Linked DNA regions of Tribolium castaneum. Each later gene encodes a partner of the first gene's protein in a complex. Links are inferred from orthologs where the notes say so. Each region holds a gene or a part of one and is shown in the gene's direction. Other genes may lie near its edges.

Region 1 (4,421 bases):
ATCTTCAGTTACGACCTAATGGCGGCCAAAACCACCAGAATCCCGTTACCCCCTGGCATGACCAGCTTCAAAAAATTCATCACTTTCCCCGATTTTGACATAATCGCAGCTGCAGGCAAGTGGGGCGAAATCCACTTGCTTAGCGCAGCCTCAAAGGAACGAGTCGCAACAATAAAGCAAAACCATGAAGTTACGGCTCTGGCCTACGGCCCCCAAGGTAATCTTCTCTATGGGCACAGTGACTGTGGCGAAGTCACTGTGTGGGACGTGAGCATGAGACGGGTCTTGCACAAGTTTATGGACGAGGGCTGTCTGCAAGGCACCACTTTGGCGGTTTCGCCCACTAATCAATTTCTGGCGGCTGGTTCTGCACAAGGAGTTGTTAATTTGTACGACGTGGGGGATATTTTAATTAATAAAGTACCTAAACCTATAAAGACCATTATGAATTTGACTACGAGCGTGACCGACTTGAAATTCAACGCTACATCGGAGATTTTGGCATTGTCGTCTGCCGAAATACCGAATTCCGTCAAATTGCTCCATGTCGGGTCTGGGACTGTTTTTAGCAACTTCCCGACGTTCGAGACCAAGTTGGGACACGTAAATGCGATCAATTTCTCGCCAAATAGTGGATATGTTGCCTTTGGGAATAGGAAATCGACCGTTTCTTTGTATACCTTGAAGCACTACAAAAGTTATTAATCAAACAACACATGTTAGATACGGTAAATGACCTGTTCCACCTGTTGTAACATTTATGCAAGCTTTATAAATTATAACAGGGCTATTGCTAAAATAATGTGTCAGTTTTAATACCGAAGAGTGGCATCTCTCCTCAAGTGGTTAATTTTGATCAATTTTTACGTTCTGTATGCTTTTTTATTTTTTACTACCGATGTCATGTTTTAGTACCTGTAAATAAAATCGTTTAAGTCCTAAGAATTTTATTGTTTTATTTGTAATATGTGAATTTTTTTTTCTTCCAACAGTTGCCGAATGAACCGCTTTGTACTCAATTGTACCTACGTTTAATTTATTGATTGCAGGCCATTATAGTTTACACCGGAATCGATTAAATAACCCCTTGCCTACACATTATCAACCACACAAGCCTCCTGAAATCAAATTGATAGGGGTACTATTACCTGCTGTTATCTAGAAGTGCTAGATTTTTATTAAAAATTTGCGTTACAGTTCTAAATACCACCTATAATTAAAAAGATTTGATGCAAAAGGAGGATAAGGGAGATGATAAAAAAAAAGTACCAAACAAAATGGAAATTATAGTAGGAGTAGAACGTGTTTATAAATCGAATACCTATTTTTTATCAATAAATCTGTTCTTAATATTAAATAGGCCATACCTATCGTATAAGAAAATATACTTATATTATTAATATAAGTTTTTTATTGGTAATTTTGTTCAAAATTTGAAAAAAACAGCGGGAATCTGACCAGAGTGTTTTGTTTTGTGATGATAAAACAGCAGTATGGTGTTGCAAGGTTGTTGTAGGTCATGAGATTTAGCAATAAACAATCTCTTAAGAAATATTGCTCAAGCAACAAAAAACAGCAAATGAGCTATGAAGTAAAGAAAGTTGCGTTGTGCCTCGTGCCAGAATTCGAGGTAAAATGAGAATTTAAGATGAGAAATGAGTGTTGTCCCCATGACGTAATACGTAAGCTGCGAGCTGCGTGGAAGGAATCGGGGCTATCAGCGGTCGTCGCAAAATGTCATCTTGTTAAATGTAAATTGGCGCAGAAACTTTCTAAAGAAATGTAAATTTGTGGATTTGGAAATGTGAAATGCAATGCGAAAATTCAAATTTGGCGGGTCGGGATGACGTGTCAGATGACTTAGCAAAACGTCGAGAGTGCGATCGACTCCGCGATGTAAACGAAACTGAAAAGCTGTGTCTGATGTCGCCGTGAAATCCGCCCCCGACGAAACCGTGCAACAACTCGGAGCAGCCGAAGATGAGGGCCATGTAAAGTGGTTAAAAGTGCGTCGATTCGGACTTTTGTTTCATATGCCTTTCTGCATTTGTGGCGTGAAGAGTCGACGGCGCAGCCGTTGGCGTGATCATGTTTATGTAGGGCGCATGCGCACATCAGTTTACAGTTGGGTCTCGGAAAATGGCGTCAGCTAAGTTTCTCGAGGAAGCACTGAGTACGGATGTGGACGAATCGGCCGTGAGTGCAATCGTGGGCTCGTTGGAGAACCAGCTGGTGACGTCGTCGACGACGGCGCCCGCGTCCGCGGCCCAGAACCACGTGAACAGTGCAATATCCAACGGCGGCACCGTCGGGCCCCCCAAGCACTCGACAGTGGCCAACGGCGACTCCATCTCGGACGCCAAGTCGGCCGACGCCGCCCCCGTCAAGATCGTCTACTCGCAGGCCATGGCGGGCGCCGGGACGCTGCTGCCCAACGCGAGGGTCGCGCTGCCGCCCAATGGGACGCTGCCCCAGGCCGCCCCCGGCAAGCAGCCCACGCTGGTCATCAAGACGTGCGGCGCCTCGGCCCCCGGACTCGTCACCGTGCCCATGAACGTGACCACCTCGGTCCCGCCAGCTAACAACGTAGGTAGTCCCAGTACACAGTCCCCAAACATCCTTTCCAACCTCCAGGTTGTCAATGTACGGCCTGGCGTTCCCGCTCAGCAGCAGAAAGGACAACCGGCACGTGTCGTGCTCAGTGCACCACAGATTGTCGGGGCCCGGCCAGGAGCTCCAGTAAGTCGGTGTACACTCAAAACAACAGTCGAATGGGAGGGTCTGCTAACTCCCAGTCTTAAGATGCTTGCTAACACCTATAACCCCTTATCGACATCTACTGAGCGTACATTAAAAAAAAAACAAAAAATTAAACAAATTTTCATTCTAGGACAAATTATGTTTTCAAGCCAGTACTTGGTGTACTGTTTATTATCATGTGACCATCAAAACAAACAACGTCCAACAAGTTTACAAACTATCTACCATAATAATTTCGTTGTGTTGTAGGTAGACAACTTAAGACACACTCAAAACAGTACAGTATTGGATTCTTGAAAATAAAGCCCAGTTTCCCCCAGGAAACCAACGTAAGGGCCCCGAATTAATGACACTGTTTTTTAAAATTTTACTTAGCAATGAATACAATTTAAGGAATTGTTAAAAAAATGACTTTAGATTTAAAAAAAAAATTAAATACGTTCCTGCAAAATTGTAACTTGCTCTTACTTAACTCAAGACTCTTTTAAGCGATGTAGATTTGACAGCTACAGCAAAGTAAGAAATTCTTTCGTACTTTCACCCTGTGTAGTCATAAAGACATGCTGTTTCAATAGGTAATAAAAAGTATTTAATGTTGGCTAAACTTTTACACATTTCTTCTCAGTTATAGTGACATTACCATTAATGGCGAATTTAGCGTCTTTCATACAGTAAACATAGATTTTTTTGTACAAAATTATTCAAAAATTATGCACTCCCAATTGAAATTTTGAACAAAACTAATGTAAAAATGAGACAAAATGATGACCTTGTTAAAACTGAAATTATTTGTTGCAATTTAGATTTTAACAGAGGATTCATTCCAGTGACCCTCATGTACCAATATTTTGTTTGATAACAATTAGAAGACTTTTTTTCTTAGAAACACTATTTTGTACACGCAAGTGAATTTTTAACTCCAGAATTGTAAACGGATAGTAATTATCAAACATCCTAAAATAAAATATAAGATGCAATAATAAGAGTTGGAGTAATTATTGAAAAGTGGAACGATTATAAAATTAGAAAATTTCATAATAATTATCTCTCCACAGGGACATAAACAGCATCACACATATAGGGAAAGGTGTTGATATCCCTACTTTGTGATTAAATACACGTTATGTTATGTAATTTTCATGCTCGTGTAATTTTTTTTTATTTAATTCTTATTTTTTTTAAAATGTTATAAAAAACGATGGCAGCGTGTTTAATGCAAATTGCTATCTATGCGAAAGAAAGTGACGTTGAATTAATGAGTGAATGGTTACTGATTTGTTTATTAAAAATGTTTTATTTCATTCATAAGGAACGAATTATTTTGAAAATAATTCGTTCCTTATTTGGAAATAAAAGTCGCAGAATCAGGATGTCATGTCAGTATTGGGATTAATTTTCATCCAAGCTAGGACTAACGCTTTCGGACCCCACAAACCCCCCCATTCTACTGCAAAATTTCATGTTTGAGGCTATTTCCATTGTACAGCTTCACAAAACAACAACCAACCACCTTACACAGATTGTTCACTCGAAACACGTACACGAAGCTGTACAACGAAAATGCCGAATCTCTTCTAGTTTTGTTGAGTAAATTTTATAGTTTATTTGAAGAATTGTTTTGTTTGATAACTGGTGTACACATTTGCTGGTCGTACTGTAAA
Region 2 (3,413 bases), on another chromosome or scaffold:
GTCTGGCACTCGGCTGATTTTATGCGAACTGTGTCCTCGCGCCTACCACACCGACTGCATTCACCCCATCATGCACAAAGTTCCTCGCGGCAAATGGTACTGTTCCAAATGCATATCGAAAAAGCCTCAGAAGAAGACGATGCGTAAAAACCACGCAAAGTCTAGCAAAGATAGCGAACTGTCCGACCATCCTCCTTCTAGGTACCTCTCAATTTTTCGTTTTTTATTTATTAACATGTCGCGTCTCCAGTCCCGCACCGTCTCATAGTTCCGTTACGACGAACGAAGAAGCAACGAATTGCAACCAAAGCGACGTCTCTAACTCGAGTCTCGGCAACGCAGGCTCTCCGTCCACGCAAACGTGCAAGAAGGACCGCATCTCGAAGAAACTACTCAAAGAACTCGCGCCGTGCAAGACGATTCTGGAGGATTTGGAGTGCCATGATGACGCGTGGCCCTTTTTGCTTCCGGTGAATACGAAGCAGTTTCCCACTTACAAAAAAATCATCAAAACGCCGATGGATTTGTCGACGATCAAGAAGAAACTGTACGATGTGAGGTTGGTGTTTTGACTTGAAAATTGATGGTGTGAGTTATTTGGGCGTTTTTCTAGTTATAAATCCAAAGAGGAGTTCGTTCTGGACGTGAGACAGATTTTCAACAACTGCGAAGTGTTCAACGAGGACGACAGTCCTGTGGGAAAGGCAGGCCACTGCATGCGCCAGTTTTTCGAAGCTCGGTGGAACGAGCTGAGTATTTCAAATAGTTGAGGACTACTTTATCCCAAAAGACCTTACCATCGAAGAATGCGGCCCCCGGAAAACAGTGTTTAAATTGCGATGAGGTGTGAATACAAACTAATTTTTTCAGAAAAACAGTACAGGTATTTCCAGTGTGTGATATTGACTTTAAAAATGTATACTTCAGCTTTTTATCGTTCGGAAATTGTAATTATTTGAATGCAATTAAAGTCTTGGATTTGCGCATCACTTAATGAATTGACTTAAACAAGAATGTGATTTTTAGTTGGTTTCTCAATTTGTATTAATTTGTATTTTTGATAATTGTGTATTTTTTTATTTAATTATTTATTTAGGATAACTATTTTGTTCATTAAATGTTCAGTGGTTTCTATTTATTTATTTTTCTAACTCAATTTCAGTTTCCCGACTTGAAGTCTGGTTCAGTTACAGTGAATAAATTAGAGTAAGAGTTTGTATAAAATGTAAAGAAATTTCTTCACATAATTGCATCGCTCAACATTAAATTAAATGTCTCTCTAGCCTATTACAAAATGTTTTTATGTAAGCTGAACATAGTTCTCAAAGGAAAGGATGTATTAATAAATAATGTGTTTGGTAGGCTAGTTCTCTGCAGCGCTAAACTGCAACTCATAGAACTAGGTTATGTATTTTAATGTAAGATATTTATATTAATTATATTTACTTATAAATGTCGCCTTTTTTCATTTCTCTCCAACCGCTACTACCCTGTTTTCCAACCACACGTTGGAAATTTTTGGAATTCCCGCGTATGGATGTTTAAATTTCGGCTCTTTGGTGATTCGGTCAGAAACACAAGCTTGTCATTTGTCAAACGTTATTATAACCTTAACTTTTCGGAACGTAAATAACAACAAACTTTGCTTTAAACTTTAAAAAATGGAACAAACCACCACCCAGCAAGTAAACGTTTACCGAAAAATGTTAGCAGCGTCAGTCTGCAGCATTCTAATGGAGTCTGGTTTCGATACGGCCGACAAAGAAAGCCTCGGTACTTTAACAGAAATGATCCAGTGCTGTAAGCCCCTCAACCCTTTTTTCGCGAAATAAGCACACTTTCTTGCAGTCCTAACCGAAGTGGGGGCACTTTCGAAAAGCTACTGCGAGTTGTCGGGCCGTTCGGAGCCCGTGGTGGCCGACGTGATTTTAGCATTTGTGGAAATGGGGCACAATTTCAACGACTTGATGGTGTACACAAAAGGCATGAAGCATTCGGTTTTACCCCCACTACAACCACAGCAGCCCCAGAAGCAGCTAAATATGTTACCAGCTGGCTCGAAGCACCCTTTACCCCCTTACATCCCTCAGCATTTACCCCAGTTTCCGGACCCCCACGCCTACGTTCGCACTCCTGTAGGTTTGTGCTGTTGGGGCGCGTCAAATATTTTATTGTTCTATTACAGACACACAAACAACCAATTATTGATTACGAATCAGTGAGAGAAAAAGCGGCAGTTCAGAAAAAAGACATAGAAAAGGCGTTAACGAAGTTTCTTGCCAAGACTAACCCCACACATAATTTGTTTGACACAGATGAGGCGAATATTTTTCCACGTAAGTGGTCCGTTTTTTATTTGGAATTTTTATTTCGTGAGTGGTGGTCAATAGTGCTCTGGAAAAAATTGGTTGCAGAGCACTCTTGACTACGTTTTTGTTTTATACCCACTATAGCAATTGAAATATTTTAGTGATAGCTTGTAAGCCTGCGTACCCCCCTTACTTGAGCGCTCTCCTGCCCCAGGATCAAATTTTTGATCCTGAAGACCTCGAATATGACCACAAAAGTCAAATGATGCAACAATCAAAAGAACAAAAAGCGAAAGAAAAAGCTGAAAATAAAGAAGAAGAAGAGACTGAAGAAACACTAAATGATTCCACAAAAAGTGAAGAAAACACAAACCCAAATGGGTACATTGATAATCCGTATTTGGCCGCAACGAAGCTGCCTAAAAAGGACGAAATGGAGGTGTCATAAGTAAGACTAAATTATAAGTTTAAATTTTTTATTTATACAACATGTAGTTATTTATAAGAATCGGAGTTATAGAAATGAATATAACAAGATTTGAATCAAACACAATTTTGTTGCTTGTTGCAAACAAGAATGGCTGGAACAAAGCCTCCTCTTCCAAACTTGTCATCCATCCGACCACACTTTCATTCCGATTTTGTACTTTGAGCCACAACATCAAGGGCTGGAAGTACTGAAGCATTGCTTCAGCAGACAGGCGATCCGACTGTCCTCTAGTTAACATTTTTATCACTTCTTTCCAATGTCTGGCCTTCCCGACTTTTAGCAAGTCCCTAAAAATATCTAATTAATTTTTATTACAAGTATTGAACAGTCATTACGATAAAACGCGTCCGGCTTCCCTCGACCGGTAAATATCGCAATTATGCAACGGCCCCACATGCCCTGAAGCAAAACACATCGAGCTGTGAATTTGGAATTCGAGCAAAAGCGCGACGTAATATTTCATGTACGGAATATCGGCGGGAATGTGGCGTTTTGCAGCGGCGTCGAAGTGGTTTTCAGTGCGAGGGATTGGGGGGATTAATCCCTGGTAGCGCAGGCGCAATTCCCACCAAACTGCGTTCATGTTTTGCACCCCGTTTTGAAAAATTTCATAA

Evidence for each region. Proteins that work in one complex are often made in the same cells at the same time.
Region 2: Taf4 (region 1) and transcription initiation factor TFIID subunit 8 share a complex: the UniProt entries of both Homo sapiens proteins name them as parts of the TFIID basal transcription factor complex. The link is inferred for Tribolium castaneum from reciprocal best matches to the Homo sapiens genes TAF4 and TAF8.

The regions. Positions count from the first base shown.
Region 1 is NC_087394.1:35,639,709-35,644,129, reverse strand, and holds the start of Taf4 (transcription initiation factor TFIID subunit 4), read left to right. Parts: upstream 1-1,488; 5' UTR 1,489-2,139; coding exon 2,140-2,739; intron 2,740-4,421. Other genes in the region: wcd (U3 small nucleolar RNA-associated protein 18 homolog), read left to right, coding at 1-705. UniProt on the Homo sapiens protein: The TFIID basal transcription factor complex plays a major role in the initiation of RNA polymerase II (Pol II)-dependent transcription.
Region 2 is NC_087396.1:13,180,024-13,183,436, forward strand, and holds transcription initiation factor TFIID subunit 8, read left to right. Parts: upstream 1-1,566; 5' UTR 1,567-1,661; coding exon 1,662-1,800; intron 1,801-1,848; coding exon 1,849-2,135; intron 2,136-2,185; coding exon 2,186-2,336; intron 2,337-2,470; coding exon 2,471-2,757; 3' UTR 2,758-2,785; downstream 2,786-3,413. Other genes in the region: tou (bromodomain adjacent to zinc finger domain protein 2B), read left to right, coding at 1-201, 251-559, 614-770; angiotensin-converting enzyme, read right to left, coding at 2,786-3,086, 3,135-3,413. UniProt on the Homo sapiens protein: The TFIID basal transcription factor complex plays a major role in the initiation of RNA polymerase II (Pol II)-dependent transcription.